Linked DNA regions of Anolis sagrei. The protein of the gene in region 1 purifies or fractionates together with the protein of each later gene. This does not show direct contact. Links are inferred from orthologs where the notes say so. Each region holds a gene or a part of one and is shown on either strand. Other genes may lie near its edges. The genes, in order: E2F6 and MGA.

Region 1 (11,826 bases):
TGTTGACATTTCCGCTGCAGCCTTGGACTTCTGGAAGGGGAACAGCAGCAATTACCAGCAATTACTGTGTAAATGTGCATGCACCAGCCTCAGGCTTCAGGATGGCATAGGAACAACAATGCCCTTCGCCAATCATGTCAGAACTATGCCGCTGCAAGGATTTTGAAAGCAGGCCATTCCTGAGGCTTTACCAATCCCTTGGCTTTGCAAGAGGTGAGGCAGCAGCAAATCCCCTGCTTGCCAGCTCCACAAGCAATCCGTGCCCTGCCCTGGGGTTAGTTTTTCCACTTTCTCGGGTTTCCTATGCTCCGAACCCTTGTGAACATGGAGAACTGACTATTCTTCAAACAACTGACGGTTGATAACTCTCACTTTAAATGCCCCTACTGTGTAAGCATCCGGATGTCCCCTGCAAGGACGTTGCAGGGGACGTCCGGATGTTTGCTGTTTTACCACCCCTGTGGGAGGCTTCTCTCATGTCCCCGCATGGGGAGCTGGAGCTGACAGAGGGAGCTCAACCCGCTCCCTCCAGATTTAAACCGCTGACCTGTTGGTCAGCACAAGGGTTTAAGCCATTGTGCTGACCGGGGGTATGTAAGTGGTGATCATTGGTACTATAATTATTCCCAACCTGCACTGCATTTAAATAGTAACAACTTTGATCTTCCTTTCACCCCTCCCTGCATTTGCCCAAAGTTGCCTCCATTCCATTTTCCCCACAAAGCCAGAGACTCCCACAGCTGTCTCACTCAGGCTGTATAAAATCCAGATTATCTGCTTTGAATTGGATTATCTGGCAGTGTAGACTCAGATAATTCAGCTCAGATCAGATAATGTGGAATATCTGCCTTTATATTCTTGATTATATGGCAGTGTAGAAGGGCCCTCAGGTAGCTCACTTTCCCTGTCCAAATCTGATTCTCTTCTCCCCACAACCCTGAGTCACTTTCTCTGGCAAAGGGAGGTCCTTTGTTCTTCTTAATATTTAGGTGATAAGCCTAATCCAAAATGTATTTGAGTAATATTTTAATTGCAAATGTAATATAATTTAGAGAGAGAATGTAGTCTCTAAATAGAGTTTTGGAACAATCAAGATAGATTTTGGGGTTTTGAGTGGAGAGCACACTTACTTCTAACTCTCACAAAAGTTGCACCTTCATCTAATTGTTGATTGCTGACAGATATAAACTGTAGATCATCTTCATTTTCAGTTTTAAATCCTGCCTGTGAAGATAAAAAGAATAATTAGAACAGTGTTTCTGGAAATTCATCTATTGCTCACGTAGGGCCCTTCTGCACAGCCATATAACCTAGAATATGAAGGCAAAAACACCCTACAATACATTGCCATATATTCCAGTTCAAAGCAGATAATGTGGGATTTTATTCAGCTGTGTGGAAGGGGCTGTAGTTTGTAAGCTGTAGCCACACAGCTGACCTATGATAACTTGGGGACCTTTTCACTCTGCAGTTATGGCCTCATGATTCCGTTTTAATGACCATGGCTACATCCTATAAAATCCCAGGGTTTGTAGTGCTGGTGGTTGGGGGAGGGGGCAGTTGAGGAGCCCCCCAAATTGGAAATTCTAGGTGTTCCTTCTAAACCGTTGCTTTCAGAAGTCTATAGGAAAATGCTGCCAGTTAAAGTGGAAGCATAGTGCTACAATTGTGAAGCGACCGGGGTGTGGCGCAGCTAGTTAGTAGCCAGCTGCATGAAATCACTACTGACCGAGAGATTATAAGTTCGAAGCCAGCCCAGGTTGGGGTGAGCTCCTGACCATTAATAGTCTATCTTGCTGTTGACCTATGTAGCCCGAAAGACAGTTACATCTGTCAAGTAGGAAATTTAGGAACCACTTTATGCGGGGAGGCTAATTTAACTAATTTATGACACCATAAAAAAAACAACCTTCCAGCAGTGTGTGGAAGAATGAGGAAGCACTCCATCAAGGACTCAGTGTCACAAGTGGATGGTAAAGTGGAAGCTCCCGCTGTGGCCAAAATCGAGCATACCCTCATGAAGCTGGAAAGCTGGAATGTTAAATTGCCTCTGTGTCTATCTATATATGTTGAATGTCTAATAGCATTGAATGTTTGCCATGTATATGTGAATTGTAATCCACCCTGAGTCCCCTATGGGGTGAGAAGGGTAGAATATAAATACTGTAAATAAATAAATAAGCAAATAAGTGTGAAAGCATCTGTGGACCCTTCTAGGCAGTCATATAAACCAGAATATCAAGGCAGAAAATCACTGCTTTGAACTGGGTTATCTGAGTCCACACTGCCATATATTCTAGTTCAAAGTAGATAATGTGGGATTTTATTCAGATGTGTGGAAGGGGCCCATGTGTCCAAAATGCTCATCCTGTAACAAATGTGACATAATCATGCTATTACACTATGTAACATAATTTTTGTTCCTGGGTTATAAATGTCACTTTCAAAGTGGGTTGTATCATTAAAAACATTGAAAAAGTTTGTTAAACTACAAAAACAAAAACATCTTTGCGGGACATCCTGCTATAGTTTTTCAATGGATATCTCAAGTCTCACCCAATTCAACATAATTTATGGCAGCCACAAAAAACAAAGTTTCTGGAGTAGAACAACTATTTTCAAACTAAGTTCTGCACAATTAAACTGGGAATAACACTTTCCAACCTGGAAAATATATTTTTCAAGTTTTGCTACATAGTGTTATTTATATCTCCACTTTTGAATGAGACTCAACGCTGATACAGGGGATATTGGTACAAAGGCTTTATGGATAATCTGTAACAATGTTTGCTCTTGAAATAATTCCTCCAACAAAAGAGATAGGAACGCTGGCAGGAAAAGTGGACAAAAAGGTCCTCCACAAAGGTAGTAAAAAGCGAGGAGATCTAGCTTCTTGTATATAAATACATAGCTATAGACCTTTCGTGTTCTAGCTTTCTAAACATACATGACAGAAAAGCAGAACACAAATAATGAAGAAACTAAGGGCCCTTCCACACAGCCATATATCTCAGAATATCAAGAAAGAACATCCCACAATATCTGCTTTGAAGTGGGTTATCTGAGGCCACACTGCCATATATTCCAGCAGAGGCTGGATGGCCATCTGTCTGGGCTGCTTTGAATGCAATTTTCCTGCTTCTTGGCGGGGGGTTGGGCTGGATGGCCCACAAGGCCTCTTCCAACTCTATATGGTAGCGAGGACTGAGACAACCCAGTTCAAAGCAGATATTGTGGATTACCTGCCTTGATATTCTGGGGGCCCTTCCATTCAGCAATATCCCAGAATACTTGTAAGGTAGGTAAACAAACACAATATAGTCAATGCAATAGGAGAACTGTAATGACCATACAGTGTTCCTTCACTTACTGTGGGTGTTACGTTCCAGGACCTCCCGCAATAAGTGAAAAACTGTGATGTAGGGACTTGCTATTTATCTTAATATTTATACATTATTTTAGGAGTTATATGCTATTTTAAGTCTTTATACACTTAAAAAAAGTGAAGGAAAGGAAGGAAAGGCCCTTCAAGGCTGGAGGGAGGACTGAGGAGGGAAAGCGCCTTGGAGAGCAGCAGCAACAAAAACCCACAAAACAGCAAAAAAACAAACAAACAAACAAACACCCTGCGATATATATTTTAAATTAATATTTTTTGAAAACTGCAAAACAGCGAGCCTGCTGAAACCGAACCGTGAAGTAGTGAGGGAACACTGTATAGGATATAGTGACAGTGAATTGGGGGTTTTGGTGTCACTATATGCTATACTGCATAGACTATATTGTGTTTGTTTACGGCCCTTCCACACAGCCATATCAAAGCAGAAGATCCCACAATACCTGCTTTGAACTGGGTTATCTGAGGGCCCTTCCACACAGCCCTATATCCCTGAATATCAAGGCAGATAACCCACAATATCTGCTTTGAATTGAGTTATTTGAGTCCATATAATCCAGTTCAAGGAGCCCCTGGTGGCACAGTGGGCTAAAGCGCTGAGCTGATGAGCTTGTTGACTGAAAGGTCACAGATTTGAATCCCAGGAACAGCGTGAGCTTCCGCTGTCAGCCCCAGCTTCTGCCAAACTAGCAGATCAAAAACATGCAAATGTGAGTAGATCAATAAATATCGCTCCGGTGGGAAGGTAATGGTGCTCCATGCAGTCATGCCTATGGCCACATGACCTTGGAGGTGTCTATGGACAATGCTGGCTCTTTGGCTCAGAAATGGAGATGAGCACCACACTTGAGAGATGGACACGACTGGATGTCATGTCAGGGAAAAAGCTTTACCTTTTCCTAACCCAGTTCAAAGCAAATACTGTGGGGTTGTATACAGCTGTGTGGAAGGGGCCTGAGTCCACGCTGCCATATATCCCAGTTCAAAGCAGATAATGTGGGATTGTCTACAGCTGTGTGGAAAGCCCCTTAGGCCCATCTACACTGTGGAATTGAGGCAGTCTGGCCCTGCTTTATGGCTCAAGGCCCTGGGAGTTGCAGATGGGTGTGCTCTTTCCCCCTTTCCCCTCCAAGCCAGAAAAGGGAAGAGTGCCTCCAAGTGCAGTCATGCTGGCCACATGACCTTGGAGGTGTCTACGCACAATGCCAGGGTGGAGTGAGCACCCAAAAGGAAAGAGCCCGGCCTCGTCCTGGTTGTTTTCAGGCTAGGTCCAGAGAAAGAGATTTCCCCTCCTCCTTTCCTCTTTGTGGCTTTTCTCCCACCCAGGAAAAATTCCCAGACCCTGCCAAAGGAGAGGCGCTTCTAAGCAACCCAGCCAAGAGGGAAGACTCACTTCCTGCCAGTCCAGCGACTCCTCCAAGCTCTCGGGCGAGACCGGGGCCGCCATCCTGGCCCAGCCTCTTCCTCCTCCTCTTCCTTTTCCTCCTCTGATGGGAGGAGGAGCCGCGGGTGACGAGGCAGAGGCAGCCAGCAGGGCCCGCCTCCAGTGGCTTCCCCATCCCCGCCAGCTCTCCATGTTGGACAGAGACTGAGAATCCTCCATAGGGACTACCAAACGCAGCGTTGCCCCAACCTGAATCAAGGAACAGACTAAGCCAACCAGAGAAGTCAGCCATAGCAGAGCACCTAATCAGCCAACCTGGGCACAGCATATTATTTGAGAACACAGAAGTGCTGGACCAGCCTCAACCAGCATGTCAGGATACACAGAGATGCTATTGAAATCCACAAGCATGGGATCAATTTCAACACAAAGGAGAAAACCATGAAAATGAACAAAATCTGGCTACCAGTATTTAAAAAAACTCTAAAATCAGGACAGTCAATAAAGAGCAACACTCAGGGGAATTCCTGACATGAAACAATCAAGGCCAGCTAACACCTCCCAACAAAGGATTCCCCAGGCAGGAATCAGCCAGTCTTTGCAGCTGCAGTGCTAATCAAGGTGGCCATTTGCAACATTCACATCTATATAAATATAAATGTAATGTCCGTTTGTGGGATTAACATAATTCAAAACCCACTGGACGAATTGACACCAAATTTGGACACAACACGTATCAGGCCAAAGAGTGACCATCACTAAAAAAATATGATTTTGTCATTTGGGAGTTGTAGTTGTTGGGATTTATAGTTCACCTAAATTAAAGCATTCTGAACCCCACCAATGATAGAATTGAACCAAACTTCCCACACAGAACCCCCATGACCAACAAAAAATACATAAGGCCATCCAGTCCAACTCCCTTCACCATGGCAAGAAAATGTAATCAAAACCCTCCTGACAAAGAGCCACCCAACCATAGATATAGATACATATGATTGACACACACAGAGATATAGTATCCTAGATTTGAAAAAAAAGGACAATGATATGTTGCCTGTTTCTGTGTAGGCAAACCTGACAATCTCTACATCAACACTGACAAAGAAACAGCAAGAAATACTGTTTACCCACAAGCAGCAATAAATTATATATATTACAATCCAACACTTTCTCATTACTTCATTTTCCAGATCACCAGACTGGGCCACAGCAACGCCTGGCAGGGGAAGACTAATTCAATTATAAAAGTAAATAAAGAACAAATCTCAAACACAGGGAAACTCTAGTCAGGAAACAATCAGAGACAGCTAATCACCTCTCAACAAAGGATTCCCCCAGGCAGTAACAAGTCACACTTAAAAACTTTCAGGCCATCAAATGCTAATGGTCCTTTGAAACATTCATAGCTAGCTCCAACAGACAAGAGTTCTTTCTCCCACCCTGGATTTTCTACTGATAAGTTGTTAATTTGTTCAGTTGCTTCCTACTGAATGAATGGACCAGCTCACAGCAGAGCTCTCAGCTCCTTCAATGTCAATCCAGTCACTTCAAGGATGCCATCCATCCATCTTGCCCTTGGTCGGCCCCTCTTCCTTTTCCCTTCCATTTTTCCCAGCAACATTCTCTTCTCCAAGCTTTCCTTTCTTCTCATGATGTGTCCAAAATACTGCATCTTGGCCTCTACTATCCTTCCCTCCAGTGAGCGGTCGGGCTTTATTTCCTGAAGTATGGATTGGTTGCATCTTCTGGCAGTCCAAGGCACTCTCAAACTTTCCTCCAGCACCACAGTCCAAAAGCATCTCTCTTCCTTTGCTCAGCCTTTCCTATGGTCCAGCTCTCACATCCATACAGGGAATACCATTGCTTTTACTATGCTTTTACTATTCCATTGATATATAAACCCAATATTCCTAGTTTCTAACAGACCTCACAACAAGCTTGGGCATCTTTAGTGTTTGCCTTTTTTGGTATGGGGATATAAATTGATTTTTTCCAATCTGATGTCAATTCTTGTGCTTTCCATATTTGCTGGCATATGGCATACGTGCATCACCTTGACAGCATCCTCTTTCAAGATTTTAAACAGTTCAGCTGGGATCTCGTCATCTCCTGCTGCCTTGTTATTAGCAATGCTTCTTAAGACCCATTCAACCTCACCTCTCAGGATGTTTGGTTCTATTTCACTCACCACACCGTCAAAGTTATCCTCAATACTATTATCCTTTTTATACAGATCTGCCACCTTCTCTTGATCTCTTCAGCTTCTGTTCGGTCCTTGCCTATAGAATACTGGAGTGTTCTTGGGCCCCACTAAATGCAAAGACTGAATTTTATGGAATTGTCTCATGTCAGTTAAAGTGGAATAATAGCACTATAACTATAGTGTGTAAGGAGCCCCCAGTGGTGCAGTGGGTTAAACCCTTGTGCCAGCAGGATTGAAGACCAACAGGTCACAGATTCGAATCTGGGGATAGCATGGATGAGCTCCCTCTTTCAGCTCCAGCTCCCCATGTGGGGACATGAGAGAAGTCTCCCACAAGGATGGTAGAACATCAAAAACATCAAAAACTGCACAACGTCTTTGCAGACAGCCAATTATCTCACACCAGAAGCAACTTGCAGTTTCTCAAGTTGCTCCTGACAAGAAAAAAAATTATAAGTCTAACGTAGATGATCATCAGTGGCTTTCAGTTAGTTCAAGTTGTTTCTTCCTTATTGTCCACCAGAGGGCAGCAATGTTATTTCCTAAGATTGTCATAACACTAGGTAACAAAATTTTTGTTCCTATGTTATAAATGTCGTTTCCTAATTGGTTCATTCATAAAACATGGAAAAAGTTTATTAAACTGAAATTTTTGTCCCTGTAGGACTTCCTGCATCACATTTGCTCTAGTTTTTCAATGCTTATCGCATCAAATCTCAACCAATTCAATATAGGGTTGCTGTGAGTTTTCCAGGCTGTATAGCCATGTTCCAGAAGCATTCTCTTCTGACATTTCACCCACATCTATGGCAGGCGTCCTCAGAAGTTGTGAGGTCTGTTGGAAACTAGGCAAGTGAGGTTTAGGGTGGGAGAAAGAACGCTTGTCTGCTTGAGGCAAGTGTGAATGTTGCAACTGGCCACCTTGATTAGCATTGGGTGGCCTTGCAGCTTCAAAGACTGACTGATTCCTGCCTGGGAAATCCTTTGTTGGGAGATGTTAGCTGGCTTTGATTATTTCATGTCAGGAATTCCTCTGAGTGTTGCTCTTTATTGACTGTTCTGATTTTCAAGTTTTTTTAAATACTGGTAGCCAGATTTTGTTCATGTTCATGGCTTCCTCCATTCTATTGAAATGCTTGTGGATTTCAATGGTTTCTCTTTCTAGTCTGACATGGTGGTTGCTAGAGTGGTCCAGCATTTCTGTGTTCTCAAATAATATGCTGTGTCAACAGGGGAACAACAGGAAAATTCCTGACATGAAATAATCAGGGCCAGCTAACACCTCCCAACTGGGCTTAAGTGGCTGAGAAGGGAATGAAAGGGCCTGAGGCTGTTAGGAATGGTGCGAGTTGAAGTCCAAAACACCCGGAGGGCCAAAGTTTGCCCATGCCTGGTCTACACTGTCCATATAATGCAGTTCCAAATTGCATTATATGCCAATGTAGATGGGGCCTCTGAAGTAGTTTTGCTTGTATTTTCACTCCATTTCTGATGTCAAATTGCTAAAATTAAATTACTAATACAAAATAGCTAGTATTATTATTTATCATTATTGTTCATCACGGACACATTGATTTAATGTGAGCCATGATGTGTTAAAGCAACGCTCCATCTCCTCGTTGTTAATTTCCTGTCAGACATATTGCACGGCAGAGATTTTGTTGAATGATGGCTAACATGACATGTAAACGCATGAATGACACACAATTTATCTTGTGATTTATGGCAATATTTCTGGCAATCATCTGTGAACTGAAACATACACAAAAGACTTCAGGGCTGGTTGCTCACCATCAATAATGTAAAAAAAAAGATTTATGCTTGAGCTGCTAAACAAGGAGGATTGCTTTATCATTTGGCCATGCAAGATGTGGAAAGCATGATAAATTAATTTACAAATGTATCTGTCCCATCTTTGGAACTGAAAAATGACAGACATTCAAAGCATAGCACAATTATGAATTTCAGTTGACAATGAAGAAGTTCCTGATGGCCATGAAACCATGCTTTAGAAAGTTTCTATTGATCCTCCATTGTGCATGTGGCAGGGCTCAGACTGCATTGTAGTAAGTGGTCTGTGGTTTGCTCTTCTCTCCACTTGCATGTTGTGGACTCCACTTTATAGCCCCATTTCTTAAGGTTGGCTCTGCATCTCGTGGTGCCAGAGCACAGCCTGTTCAGTGCCTTCAAAGTTGCCCCTGGGCTGAGAACAGCGGTATATAAGTAAAGTAAATAAATAAATAATAAATAAAGTTGTCCAGTCTTCAGTGTGCCCAGGAGGGAGTCTCTTATCCAATCTTAGCCACTTATTGAGGTTCTGGGTTTTAGCCTGCCACTTTTGGACTCTTGCTTGCCGAGATGTTCTTCCTACTATCTCTGTAGAGCTTAGAAAGCTATTTCACGAGTTAAGGTGTTGGCATGGTTGATATCCGAACAGAGGATGGGCTGGAGATGGCAATGTCTTATTTCTTTCATTACAGTCTGGTACTTATCAATGGTTGTCAGGTGATGAAATACCGGCTAAACAGTATAATTTCTCCAGTGGTGTAGGATGTAGACATCCTGTGATAATGCGGCATGTCTCATTAAGAGCCACATCCACTGTTTTAACGTGGTGCGATGTATTCCACACTGGGCATGCGTATTCAGCAGCAGAGTAGCAAAGTGCAAGGACAGATGTCTTCATTGTGTCACTGTCCAGAGTAAAGTTAGCTAAGGTATTGCTTTTAAACTATTCAATTTTTTCTTTTGAAGTGGTAGCTAAGAATTGTACTCTTCTATGCATGGTTTGCATATTCCTTCAGTGTGACTACAGATCAGCTTAATGTATTTCTACACAAAATCTAAAATCCAAATTTCGCCTCAAAGCTTCAGAGCTTCAAACTAAGTTTAAAAATAGAAATTATATTGTAAGTGGTTACATTAAAAAAACCATCTTGAATAGGTTTTATGGATTTCTAACCATCATATTCAAAATTTCAGAAATATCCCCCCCCCCCTTCTTATTTCAGGTTTCTTGACATTCTGGCTTTACATTAAATGCACTGGCAACAGCTGTACCTTCAGACAGAGATACAGATGTGGGAAAATAAATGACAATTCTTCAATTACATCGGATTTTCAAACACACACCCCAACCCCATTTCCTAGCATTTCAGTTTGAAACAACTGCTGAGTATACATCTTGTTGGGTTGCTGTGAGTTTTCCAGGCTGCATGGCCATGTTCCAGAAGCATTCTCTCCTGACGTTTTGTCCACATCTATAGCAGGCATCCTCAGAGGTTGTGAGGTCTGTTGGAAACAGGGCAAGTGAGGTTTATATATCTGTGGAATAATGTCCTGGGTGGGAGAAAGAACTCTTGACTGCTTGAGGCAAGTGTGAATGTGGCAATTGGCCAGCTTGATTAGCATTGAATTGCCTCGCAGCTTCAAAGTCTGTCCACTTCCTGCCTGGGGGAAAACAATCAGAGCCAGTTAACACCTCCCAACAAAGAATTCTCCCAGGCAGCAACCAGCCAGGCTTTGAAGCTCAAAGTGCATTCAATGCTAATCATGCTCATACGGGGACATGAGAGACGCCTCCCACAAGGATGATAAAAACATCAAATCATCCAGGTGTCTCCTGGGCAACGTCCTTGCAGACAGCCAATTCTCTCACACCAGAAGCGACTTGCAGTTTCTCAAGTCGCTCCTGACACGACAAGAAAAAAGCTGGCCAATTGCAATATCCACACTAGGATGCCTGCCATGTGGTCAAAATATCAGGAGTGAATGCTTCTGGAACATGGCCATACAGCCTGGAAAACTCACAGCAACCCAGTGATTCTGGCCATGAAAGCCTTTGACAACACATATATCTTGTTATTACTGTGTCCAAGTTAACTTAAGTCTCACAATGACCCTATTCTGGATTTACAAGATTTGTTGAGAGACTGTTTCCCACTGACTTCCTCTAAGAGAGTATGGTTTGGCCAAGGTCATTAATGGCAAAACTGGATTTGAACCCTGATCTTCTGAAGTCCTAGTCCAACACCCAAACCATGCTGGCTCAATGACTTTATGTGCTTGACTCCAATAGCCATATGGTATGCTAGTGGTGAGATTCAACACAATAACACGGTCCACACTGGGGAAAAAGTATGGATTTAACCAAGCTTCCTCATTTTTGCTCATAGTGGTAGATTACCATGACTCACTTGTGAGGGATGCATTGAGATCTGTACAAATGAGCATAATTAAAGATTGCCCATCGTTAAATGAGATGTATATGTGCTTGGGTGAAACACTACTCTGAGGAAGCATATCCACAAAATCTGCAACACAGTGTTACAGTGGGCTCTTGGTATCCACTGGAGTTTGGTTCTAGAACCTCCTGTGGATGCCAAAATCTGGGGATGCTTAAGTCCCATTATATTCAACGGTAAAGTAAAATGGTGTGCCTTATATTAAATGGCAAAATCAAGCTTTGCTTTTTGGATTTTAATAATAAACATTTTAAAGCCATGGGTGGTTAAATCCACAGACACATTTGAGTGAATCTTTTCTTTAGTGGTATATATCCACTAGTATTCATGCAAGGCAAATTAGGTTTCTCAGTTGTTAGACTGATATACTTGGCTATCTCTTTGAACTGTTAGGAACGGAGATTATGCCAATGCACAAAATATATAGCCGATCTTCAGAAGTGCTATTTCAGTTGTTCAAAAACATCTACTCTGCCATGAAATATATTTGGTTTCAAATCATGCTCTCAAGAGTCAAAAATAACTAGTCTTGGTTAAAAATAACATAGTTGGTTTACTTACAAACTTCATGTATTCAGCATACAGGTACATGGCT
Region 2 (12,153 bases), about 160 Mb from region 1:
CCTGACAAGGGCAGGCATTTTAAAAAGTCAGTTTCTTTTAGTCGGTGGACAAAAGTGGAAGCTGTGTTCTAGTGTGTGGAGAAACCGAACCCAGGGGTTCAGTTTCTTCAGCCTGTGTGTTTTCAGAGTCAATTGGACCTGCTTAAATTAGTAATTAACTCATGAGCTAAGGGGGAAAGGAACTCCAGTAGAAATCCATAACTTCAGTGGGGATAGCTGAAGGGGAAAAAAGGCAAGCCGGTGCCTTGAATTGTCAGTTAAGAAAAGAAAGATACTTTGCAGTGAATAAGTTTAAAACCAGTCTGATGGAAGTAAAAGCCATACTGAGAGTTATATTGGAAACTGTTTAACTAAAGTCAACTGTAACAACATTTAAAGGAATACAGAATAACCATCAAATGTTGTACATCTGTGAATCCCTAAATAAATATTTCCTTGATCAGTTTTTTATAATTAAAACTCATGTCCATTTATTGAGAAGAAGATTTACCTCAGAAGAAGGCGGCTGAAGATATTGGAAGAAAGGATTCTGGATGGGGTAATGAGTTACTCCTTTTTAAAAAGGGCCTCAAATAAAAACATTTTTAAAAGTCAAGTCTCAGCTATACGCACCATCACTACTTTAGTCTCCTCATTACCCTGGTTATATATATATGTGTGTGTGTGTGTGTGTGTGTGTGTGTGTGATTTGTTCGTCATGTTTTACAGTCAGTGACTGGATTTCTGTTTCTGATTATCTGTAAAGCTTTAAATAATTCATGTACCGCAAGTGGGAAATTTTTGGTGAATTTCTTGCTGTTTGGTAGCCCAGGTTTGTTTTTTGTAGAATTACTGACAGAGGGATCATTGCAATGACAAACAGCAGTGGTCACAGTGAGTCGCCCTGGAAAATTCCTCTCTTGATGTTAACAGTACCATAGCTTTCATTGCCCACGAACAACTCCGTTTTCCATTGTTTCTTGCATTTTCAGTGAACTTTCTAATATTTTCACAAACCCTGATGACATCTAGACATTTGATAATCCAACAATGTGGCAGTGAGTCAAATGCTTTTTTGTAATCAATCCAAGTTGTATAGAGGTTTGTTTTGTGGCTTTTGCAATTCTCCAGTATCATTTTGTCAATCAGAAGCTGATCTTCCGTGCCCCTACTTCTTCTTTTATTGCCTTTTTGTTCTACTGGCAAGATGTTATTTTCCTCCAAGTAATCCTGGATTTGATCAGCTATTATTCCTGTCAGCAGTTTGAACATTGTAGGCAGACATGTTATTGGCCTGTAGTTTCCTGGTATTATCCCTTTTGCTGGATCTTTCTGTATCAAATATGTCTTCCCAGTTGTTATCCATTTGCTGACGTTTCCTGTTTGTAGCATCTCATTGAATTTTTTGCCCATTTTTGAGTGCATGCTAACCAGATATTTAAGCCAAAATCTGTGCCATTTATCATTGCCAGGTGATGTCCAGTTCTTAACTTTCTTCACTCTTTCAGTGATCATTTCTGTTGTTATTTCCAAGGTTCTCATTTTGTTCTCCGAAAATTTATTTTCAAAGTCTTTTATCCAAATTTCTAACACTTCTGTAGTTGTTTTGCTTCCAGTTGCCCTACAGGCCCATGATCTGGTTGCTCAGCAGCGGGTCCTGGTTCCTGTAGCCCACTTGTCGACGGGTGCCCAGGAAATGCACTCGCGGCAGTCCTTATTATCCTGAATGACAACCAAGTCAGTATAGACTTCATTAGTTTGTTTCACCATATTTAAATGGGTTGGGTGCACTTAGTTCTACTTCTCAGATGAGACCACTCTGGCTTGGTTGAACCTGCTGGTAGTTTACACTACCACCAGCACAGCTCTCAACATCATAGAAGCAGTTTATTTATTTATTCATTCATTCATTCGCTTCATTTATATACCGCTTTTCTCAGCCCTTAGGCGACTCAAAGCAGTTAACAACAACAATTTCAATACACACATTACAAAACCATTGGAGCATTTAAAAACAATAGCATAACAACAATTAAACATCAATATGACAATATGACAAATCATTCATGTCTCATCAATAAGCCCCCCGCAAATGACACAGTGGCACCTGATGGGATGATGATGATGATGATGATGATTAGTATTATTAATGCATGTAAGATCTTTCCCATTTGAGGATGGCTAAATTCAAGATAGTGGTCCTTTCAAAACACCTCATGTTCTAGATCCAGTATTACTGTTAAGAGCACCTTTATCTTTCTTTCTATTCCTTTTTTTGGGTGGAAAGCTCTTCATTACAGGCCTTTGCTGCAAATATCTGCAAAAAAAAAAAAACCCAAAAAAGAGCAACCAATGTGATGTTACAGAACTAAGAGATGGCACCTTCCTTTGTAAATGAATGGTCAAGATGTTCCTTTTCAAGCCTTATACCTCTTCCTTTTTCACTGAAACAAATATTAAAACATGAGGTTCATAACTGCACACATGCTCTTGGCTTTTGTGGTAGTTTATTCAGTTGTAAAGCAGTTATGAAACATTATCACTGCCTGATCTTGATAAAGTTTGTGGAAGAGGTTAAACAAAGGCAAGATATGGGCTGTTCCCATTATTCCTTGGAATGAGATGAATAGAGAGCAATCACCTCAGGCACACATTTCTCCACATAAAAACACTTATAACACAACAAAGAATAATAATTCTTGGTACCTCGATTTTTAGGCCTGTTCCTAAAAACTGGGGCACTGTTTCAGAAAATTGCATTGGATAGCCACATCAGCTCTAATTTCTTCAATATGGTTATCATGGCAACTGGTAGATGGCATATATTGCAGCTCAAAAACCTGAAATACAGACAGTATAGGGGAAACTGGTGCCATTTCTGGAATCAGAAGGTTAAATATACCCAGAAATAGGACTAACATTTGAGGTGCCAAAATGTGTGCTGCCCAGTATTGTTTATAACTGTAGCTCTGCAGGTTATTATAGTAATGGATGTTGAATTTGAATGCTTTGATATCATCATCATAGACCACGACATGCAAGTGTGGAAAAGAACAAACCACTGACCACCTACTAAAATGCAGTCTGAGCCCTGCCACATGCACAATGGAGGACCTTCTTACAGTAACATCAAAGGCATTACAAGTGGCCAGCTTCTGGTCAAAGGAAATTTAGCATAATTCCAAGTTTTTAACTTTGTAGTCTTTGATACATTATAACTGTATTCTCAATTTGCTTCTAACACAAAAATAAATAAAATCATAGACTATCATTTGTGGTTGAGTATGATTGCCTTCCAAGTGTAGGGTCTCGATGGTGGATCTGTAGGTGACTGTATAGACCTATTCCTGATTTGCATGTTCAATTGCAGCGAGAACATAGATTTCCAGATGGAAAGTGGTCCTGACAACAATTGGCTTGATGTGCCTTCCTTTATCCCTTTCGCCCTTTTATCCTGTACATGTGGCCCGCCCACTGTTATCGTGATTGTGTTTATTGGAATGTTATTTTGTTACTGTATTCATTTTTTTCTTTTTATGTAATTTTGATGATGTTGCTTGTTGTTTATGTTTTGGTTTTATTTTGCTGTAATATGTTGTCTGGGCTTGGCCCCATGTAAGCCGCTCTGAGTCCCCATTGGGGAGATGGTGGCGGGGTATAAATAAAGTTTATCATTATTATTTTATTATTAAACCATGTTTAATCTCTTTAATAATACATACGAGGACCTTTAGATTTTTTTATTAGAACTTTAGAATTCGGAGATTGAATATGCCACTTTACCTACAGCAGTGCTTCTTAACCTGTGGGTTGCAGCCCACCAGTGGGCCATGAGGATGAAAATCTAGTCCGCGAGCCTCCTTCCTCTTTATTTTATTTCCGCTCTTTCGCGCTGTCTGCCACTCCCTGCTTCTGACCATGGCATATGTTCTGTATCAGAACTAGAGCTGATGTGGTCTAGCCAATACAATTTTCTGAATCAGCACACCAAACCAAATCTAAGTTGATCAAAAACTGATTTGTAACCCTTTTGGTACTAATGTTGGAGAGTGGCTCCTGGTCATAGTCAATAGTCAAGTGGTCCCTGGTCAAAAAAAGGTTGGGAACCACTCATCTATAGCAATTGCTGTATTTTATTGTTTTTACTAGGGGATACTGTATATTTATGATGTGTTGACTGTTTATTGTCTTATGTTTCGTTTTGCACTTGTATTTTGCATGCCACACCTTGAGTGTTCTGTGAGCCATCCCGAGTCCCTCTGGGAGATGATGGCAGGGTAGAAATAAACTATTATTATGGCCTTGCAGCTTCAAAGCATAGCTGATTGCTGTCTGGGGAGGTCCTTTGTTTAGCTGGGAGAAGAGAAGGTGGATAGGGAACATGAAAACCATGTTTCAAGATTTAAAAGGTTGCCCCATTGAGGTGGGGAGTGGGGAACTGACTTTCTGCTGCTCTGGAGACCAGGGCATAGGGGAGCAATGGTTTCAAAAGGCAGGGGAAAAGATTTGACTGAAAACATTAGGAAGAAATTCCTGATTGGTGGAGACGAGAGACAGGGCCTTCTCAACTGTGGCTCCCTGTCACAGACAGGGAGCAAGTGTTGAGAAGGCCCTGTCTGTGGAATTCCCTCCCCAAAGACATCAGACTGGCCACCTCCCTCCTGTCCTTTAGAAGAAAACTCAAGACTTGGCTGTGGGACCTTGCATTTGACCATTGAACAGCGGGTTGTATGAAGACATCAGCAATTTTGAAGTGACAATGAATTGACCTGGGTTTTAATTGGCGTGTTTTATTTAATATTTAATGTTTTGTTTTAATGAATGTGTTGATTATTCTTATCATCATGATGGCACCGAATGGTGTTTGCTGTGAGGCCGCCCTGAGTCCCCCCTCGGGGGTGAGAAGGGCGGGGTACAAGTATATGAAATAAATAAATAAATAAGAGTGGCATAGGCTGCCTGGCAGTACGATGGGGTGGTGCCCCTGGTGGCAGAGTGGGTTAAACCCGTGTGCCGGCAGGACTGAAGACCGACAGGTTGTAGGTTCGAATTCGAGGAGAAGTGGATGAGCGGGGACATGAGAGAAGCCTCCCATAAGGATGATAAAAACATAAAATCATCCAGGCGTCCCCTGGGCAATGTCCTTGCAGACGGCCAATTCTCTCACACCAGAAGCGACTTGCAGTTTCTCCAGTCGCTCCTGACACGACCAAAAAAAAAAAAGTATGATGGGAGTTTCCTTCTCTGGAGGCTCTTCAGCAGCGATCCTTTGTTTGGAGTGTTAGCTGTCCTGACTGATTCTTGTCTGGAATTCCCTTTACAGATACATAAACCTCACTGGCCTAGTTTCCAACAGACTTGGAGGATGCCTGGCATAGTTGTGGGCGAAACGTCGAGAGAGAATGCTTCTGGAACATGGCCACACAGCCATGAAAGCCTTCGACAACACATTGTCCTATTTGCCTCTCTCTCAGCCCTTCTCATCGGGGCGCGCGAACGCGCGTGAAGGAGCCACGCTGAGGAGAAAGGCCGAAAAGCGAGGGAATGGAGACTGCCTTCGCGCTTGACAAAACGCCCAAGCGCCAGTCTTGCCTGAAGAGAAGGCTGGAGGCACCGCGAAGAAACGCAACGGCTCCCCCGCAATGGCTCCGCGAGAGCGAGGCAGGCAGGCGGCACAAGGCGAGGCCTCCGGGAGAAGCGGGCACGCGCCTCTCCGCCTCGCTCCCTTTCCATTCAGGCCACAAGAGGGGAGGGGGCGGCGTTAGGAGCGGCCCTCTACCGCGCGAGCAGCGGAAATAACTGCCACTCCCCGCCCCCTCCCCCTCCCAAACATTCCAGAACCTTCCGCGACGTAGCCTACAGCTTTAGGAGGAAAAGCGAACAGAACATGCGCGGAAAGGAAAGCGAGATTGAGAGAGAGGAGAGAGAGAGGGGGGGGGAGAAAAGCGCATGCGCAGAGTAGGTGGGTGCAGGGGGATGTGGCCGAGCAGCAGAGAAAGGAAGGAGGCGCCGGGGCACGTGACAGCCCGCAGGCGAGGAGGCGGCGGCGGCGGCGGCGCGCGGGGCCGGCTCTGCGCAGGCGGCATGGGAGGCGCGCGCCGGCGACGTCACATGGGTGGGTGCGTGCGCACGCTGTCCTCTCCACGATTTGATTCTAGAGCACAACAAGACAGGGAAGGGAGAGAGGAGGGGAGGGGGGGGGGAGCGCGCCCATGGCTTCGCTCGGTGACTGATTGACGGACTGACTGGGACGGAGACAGGCCCCGGATGGCGGGAAGCGCCGAGGAAGACTCCGAACAAGGTCTGTCTGGCGTGGGGCCGCGAATCCGGGAGTGGAGGATGGAGGAGGAAAAGGTTCTCTCGCGCGCAATTTTCCCGCGTGGCTCGCACACATCTCCTGCCTATGGAGGAGGCTGGCAAAAATGGACACCCGCGGGCGAGGGCCTTGTCGGAGGCCCTTGGGGGGGGGGGGGAGGCGTGATCGCGTCGTTTCCTCGCGTGCCATGGAGGCGCATCTCGCCACGCGGGGCGCTCCCCATTCGAAGCTTGTTGGCCTCCGAGGGGCCAGGGGAGCGGGGCTTGTTATGGGGCGCCGGGCGCTTTTGCTCAGGCCTTCCCTCGGCCTGTTGGTGGCTGAAGTCCGCCGGCTAATCACCCCACGCAGCTCTGCTTCTGGCGGGGGAAGGGAGGGAGGCCAGCAAGTGTTGTTCCTTGGGACGGAAGGCTTCCTTCCCACTAGAACAGTGGAAAGAAATACATAATCAAAAGAAAACGAGGGTGGAGGCGCTTTAAGGCAGTGGTTCTCAGCCTTCTAAATGTCGCAACCCCATAATTCAGGTCCTCACGTTGTGGTGACCCCCAACCATAACATTATTTTCATTGCTACTTCATAACTATGATTTTGCTACTGTTATGAATCGTGATGTAAATATCTGATATTCAGGATGCATTTTCATTCACTGGACCAATTTTGGCACAAATACCCTATATGCCCAAATTTGGTGGGTTTGGGGAGATTAATTTTGTCATCTGGGAGTGGTAGTTGCTGGGGTTTATAGTTAACCTGCAATCAAAGAGCATTCTGAACCACACCAATGAAAGAATTGAACCAATCTTGGCACACAGAACTCCCATGACCAACAGAAAATACTGGAAGGGTTTGATAGGCATTGACCTTAAGTTCTGGAATTGTAATTCACCTACATCCAGAGAGCACTGTGGACTTAAGCAATGATAGATCTGGACCAATACTCAATATGCTCAAATGCGAACACTGGTTTAGTTTGGGGAAAATAGACCTTGACATTTGGGAGTTGTAGTTGTTGGGATTTATAGTTCACCTACAATCAAAGAGTGTTCTGAACCCTACCAGCGATAGAATTGGGCCAAACTTCCCACACAGAATCCTCATGACCAACAAAATACTGTGTTTTCTGATGGTCTCTGACACCCCCTCGAACCCCCCCCCCCCCCGGGGTCCTGACACCCAAGTTGAGAAATGCTGTATTAGGACTTCCAGGGCTGTGACCACATCGCTTTTCCAAGTGTTTTGTGCTTCAGGTCCCAGAATCCCATATTGTTGGCCAAGACAGTTGAGGCTTCAGGGACTTGGAATTCCAAAACACTTGGAGATCTAGAGCAGGCATGGGCAAACTTCAGCCCTCGGAGTGTTTGGACACCAAGTCCCTCCCACAATTCCTAACAGCCGATAGTGATGTTGAAGTCCAAAACACCCAGAGGGCCAAAGTTTGCCTGTGCTGGCCTTATAGGATTCTGTAGCATTCAGTCAAGGCAATTAAATGGGTGTCAAAACTGCATTAATTCTGCAGCGTGGAACCACTCCTGGTCAGAAGGTCACAAGCACTGATTGGCTGAATATTGGTGGATTGTTTCAGAATCTCCATCTTCAAGCATGTTGCGGGACCACTTGTTTGTAACCTTGTCTTAAGTGTGAAAAGTTAAGTCTTAGGATTCATCAGATGTGCTTTCTTTCTATTAAGTACTTTAAACAAATGTTAACAATATTTGTTGATCAGCACTAACATCAAGCAAAATCCTAATATTTCAATATAATATATTCTTACTAGTATTCAAATCCAGGGAGCGGGGTGAGCTCCTGCTGTTAGGCCCAGCTTCCGCCAACTTAGCAGTTCGAAAACATGCAAATGTGAGTAGATTGATAGGGACCACCCCAAACGGGAAGGTAACGGTGCTCCATGCAGTCATGCCGTTCACATAATCTTAGAGGGGTCTATGGACAACGCCAGCTCTTCGACTTAGAAATTGAGATGAGCACCACCACCAGAGTCGGACAGATGTCAAGGGGAAACTTTTACCTTTTTTATTCATTGATCTATCTCAGTGGTTCCCAACCTTTGGTCTTTCCTGTGTTTTGGACTTCAACTCCCAGAAATCCCAAACAGTTTGGGCTTCCAGAAATCTCAGCCTATTAGGAATTGTGGGATCTAAAGTCCAAAACATCCAAAGGGCCAAAGGTTGGAAACCACTGATGATCTGTATGTTGAGTGAGAGGCAGTGTCCTGTAACGGTTTGAACATTGGGCTATGGCTCTGGAAACCAGGATCCAAATCCTCACTCAGCTATGGAAACCCACTGGATGTCCTTGGGGAAATTTCATTATCTAAGGACTTGAAATTATTTGAAGACACACAACAAGAAGTGTATGTGCAGGTTTTTCAAAATGGTACTGCAACAAGTTAGATTGTGATACAATAAAAGCATAAAACAGCTAAAATCAGCGTCAGAATTATACATGTTGAGTGCTCACTTACTTAGGCAATCCCTCGTTGGCCGAGTAGAATAGTCTTCCGGGGCAGTATTCTTGTTGGTTCCTTAGGTGGCTGTGGCGTCCTCTTCTTGATCTGCATCTTCTCCTGCAGTGAAGGCATTGATTTCCAGGTGGAAGGCAGTCTCGGTTGGGGTTGGCTTGACGCGCCTTCCTCTTGGCACGTTTCTCTCTTTCACCCTCCATTCGTGCCTCTTCAAATTCTGCAGCACTGCTGGTCAAAGCTGACCTCCAGCTGAAGCGCTCAAGGGCCAGGGCTTCCCAGTTCTCAAAGTCTATGCCAGAGTTTTTAAGGTTGGCTTTGAGCCCATCTTTAAATCTCTTTTCCTTTCCACCAACATTCTGTTTTCCATTCTTGATTTCGGAGTAGAGCAACTGCTTTGGGAGACGGTGGTTGAGTATGCCTTATCCAAAATGCATGTGCTCTGCATATGGGCGCTTGCTTTGGCACCACCTATATTAAAATTGGAATGATACAGAGAACATTCTCATGGTTTCTGCACAAGGAAGGCATGCACATTTGTGATATTTTAGTTTTTTGGGCTGAGCCAGGGATGTGCTGTGAAGTGGTTTCTATATGTGAATAGGTTTTTAATTATTTTATTGGTTGTAACTTCATTTGTAATACACAGTGTTTAATCAAATTTTAATGTGTGTATTTTTTAAGGTTTTGTTTGCATGTTTTTAAGGTTTTAAATTATTTAGGGTATTGTTTTTAGTGTTAGCCACTTTGGGTCTGTCTTTAGAGATAGAAATAATAATAACAATAATAATAATACCAGAAGATTTTTTGAATTTCAGATATTTTTAATATATTTGACTGCTGGTATTTGCATATATGTACATGGAGATGTGACTTAAGTCTAAATATTAAATTAATTTATGGTTTATTTACACTTTATATACATGACTTGAAGGCAACTTTATAAAATATGTTTAATAATTCTGGGCCTGAAGCAAAAATTGTGTACATCAAGCTAACAGAAAGCAAAGGTGTCATTATCTCAGCCACCTATGTGGGCAGTTATGCACTTTGGAAGACTTTGGATTTCAAATTAGGGGTGTACTTTTTTCCTATGCTGATGTATATAGAAATAGGAGCAAATATTTCCTCCATTTTAGTATCTGAGGTTTGAATTACATATGAAGGAAAAATAGTCATTTTGGAAAGGTTCTGTAGATTACTGTTTTTAGCATTCAAAGTAAAGTGCATTTCGTTGTGTGTAGACTTTAGTGCACGAGTCTTTTAATTTTTATAGTAGTAAAACAATACCAATAGAATTCAGTGGTGCTGCTTATCTAAAACATTGCAGTGCCATGGTAGGATAACATTTTAATTTAAGATACACTGTTGCATATTATTATACAATGTACTCTATTCTAACTACATTTTCAAAGCCAGATGATGTAAACATTGTGCTGCTATCTCAAAAATGTAATCATTCTTAAAACTGTTACATTGTTTTTAAGAGAGAAAAATTAGAAAATCGACGTTTATCATACCTTAATGAGGATTTGGATTCAGGCTTCAATATTTCTGTTCCTTGTTTTAAAAAAATGCTGCTGGATTCATTCAAGCACTCATATATTTAGTGGTTGGTTAACATTAGTTAATGTCAATGTTTGGCAGGTTCAAGGCATGGTGGGAAGATTCCCCTCTTCCTTTGTGGCTGAAGGTGATAAAATAACCCAGGATAACAGGATTAATTGTGTTTCTAGTCAGAGTATCTCCATGCATTTATCTTTCCATATGATAATGCATTATGGCACCCTATTGAGGTAGGCTTACTATGTTGTGAGTTCACAGTTTTGCTGATACTAGAGGAAAATTTTGTTTGAGAACTTAGTGTCCAACATATCATTTCAATAGTTTATTTTATAAAGAAACTTAAATGGAGGCGAATTCTGTCAGAGTTTGTGTTGATTGATTTTTCCCTAATGTAGTTGCATGATGTTTACTTGTTTACAAATTAATGTTGCAACTACACTTCTGTGGTAGCTTTTAAAACTATGTCTTGTCAATGTTACAACTTCTGCATTTTATAAAAATTACCAAAACATTTAAAAAATGAACATTAACTTGCAAATGATTTTTGTCTCCATGGTTACTTTTGATTAGATGCTTGGTTTTAAACTTAATTTTTTGTAATGTCAAAGAATCATTTACTAAATTTTTCAGAATTGAAAATAAGGTTTGAAGGGCAGGATCTGGCTATATTTGCAGAGTTGGAAGTGACTTTCTTTTCCATACTCTTAACTGTTAGAGTGTGGAAAAGAAAATCACTTCCAACTGTGCAAATATAGCCAGCTCCTGCCCTTCATACCTTATTTTCAATTCTGAAAAATTTAGTAAATGATTATTATTAATGTTGGGAAAATACTGCAAGTCCCAAATGTTGCACCTGCTTACTGGGACAGTAAGATTATATCTCCCTATATAAGCCTGCCTGAGATCTTTTGAGGAATGACTTTTTCTTGGTCTGATTGTCATAGGCTTATTTGATGCTGTTCTCAGCTTCTTCCACAAAAAGCAAGGCTAGTCCCTTCTGCTTTCCTTCCATTTGCCGTGGAAGACATTCTTGTAGCTTTAGGTGGTTATGCAGAAGAGTATTTTAGTCATGATTGTGTGCTGTACTTCTGTTGTCATTTTCTTATAAAAAAGTTTATAATGCTCTAAAATTTGTTACTATATTTTATAATATTCTAATAATACAGGTAGATTTTAGCCGCTTTGTTTCCTATGTTGCCAGTAAAGAAGGCTATTTTAAAAATTAATAAATAAATATGTAAATGATTATGGAATGTGACTAAACTGATGATAGCAGTGTATTGTTTGTTGCATATGCTGGTGAGATCCTTTTAAACGTACCATGTTTTCTTACACTGTATAAATGTTCGTTACATACTGGTTTTGGTTTTTTCTTCTCAGTATGACCAACATGAAAGAAAATCAATTCGCACTGTGAATATGGAGAATTTTGTAGAAATTTCATCACTTCCCAAAACTGGGAAGCAATCAATCAGATTAGGAAACCAGAATGGTGGAACAGTTCCAGGTGCTGCACCTGCTCTTTATGTCCTTGTAAAACAAAGTACAGGAAAATCTGACCAGGGAAATTCGGTTTCAAATCAAGATGACTGTGATCTTCCCAGTAGTGCAGCACAACCAGTGTCTAAAGCAAAGAAATACCTTCCAGCTGAGTGCACCTCAGGAAACGTTACCGTTACCTTGGACAACAGCAATATGTGGAATGAGTTTTACCATCGTAACACTGAAATGGTGCTGACTAAACAGGGAAGACGAATGTTTCCGTATTGTCGATACTGGGTAAGAGGTCTGGAATCCAATTTGAAGTATATCCTGGTCA

Evidence for each region.
Region 2: the proteins of E2F6 (region 1) and MGA purify together in Homo sapiens (affinity purification with mass spectrometry; 3 studies listed by BioGRID and IntAct, counting the BioPlex papers as one, with this or other methods). This does not show direct contact. The link is inferred for Anolis sagrei from reciprocal best matches to the Homo sapiens genes E2F6 and MGA.

What each region holds. Positions count from the first base shown.
Region 1 is NC_090021.1:130,945,694-130,957,519, forward strand, and holds the start of E2F6 (transcription factor E2F6), read right to left. Parts: upstream 4,989-11,826; 5' UTR 4,974-4,988; coding exon 4,791-4,973; intron 1,225-4,790; coding exon 1,131-1,224; intron 1-1,130. UniProt on the Homo sapiens protein: Inhibitor of E2F-dependent transcription. Binds DNA cooperatively with DP proteins through the E2 recognition site, 5'-TTTC[CG]CGC-3'. Has a preference for the 5'-TTTCCCGC-3' E2F recognition site.
Region 2 is NC_090021.1:288,157,407-288,169,559, reverse strand, and holds the start of MGA (MAX gene-associated protein), read left to right. Parts: upstream 1-6,058; 5' UTR 6,059-6,280; intron 6,281-9,220; exon of another isoform or gene 9,221-9,325; intron 9,326-10,470; exon of another isoform or gene 10,471-10,564; intron 10,565-11,714; 5' UTR 11,715-11,753; coding exon 11,754-12,153. UniProt on the Homo sapiens protein: Functions as a dual-specificity transcription factor, regulating the expression of both MAX-network and T-box family target genes. Functions as a repressor or an activator.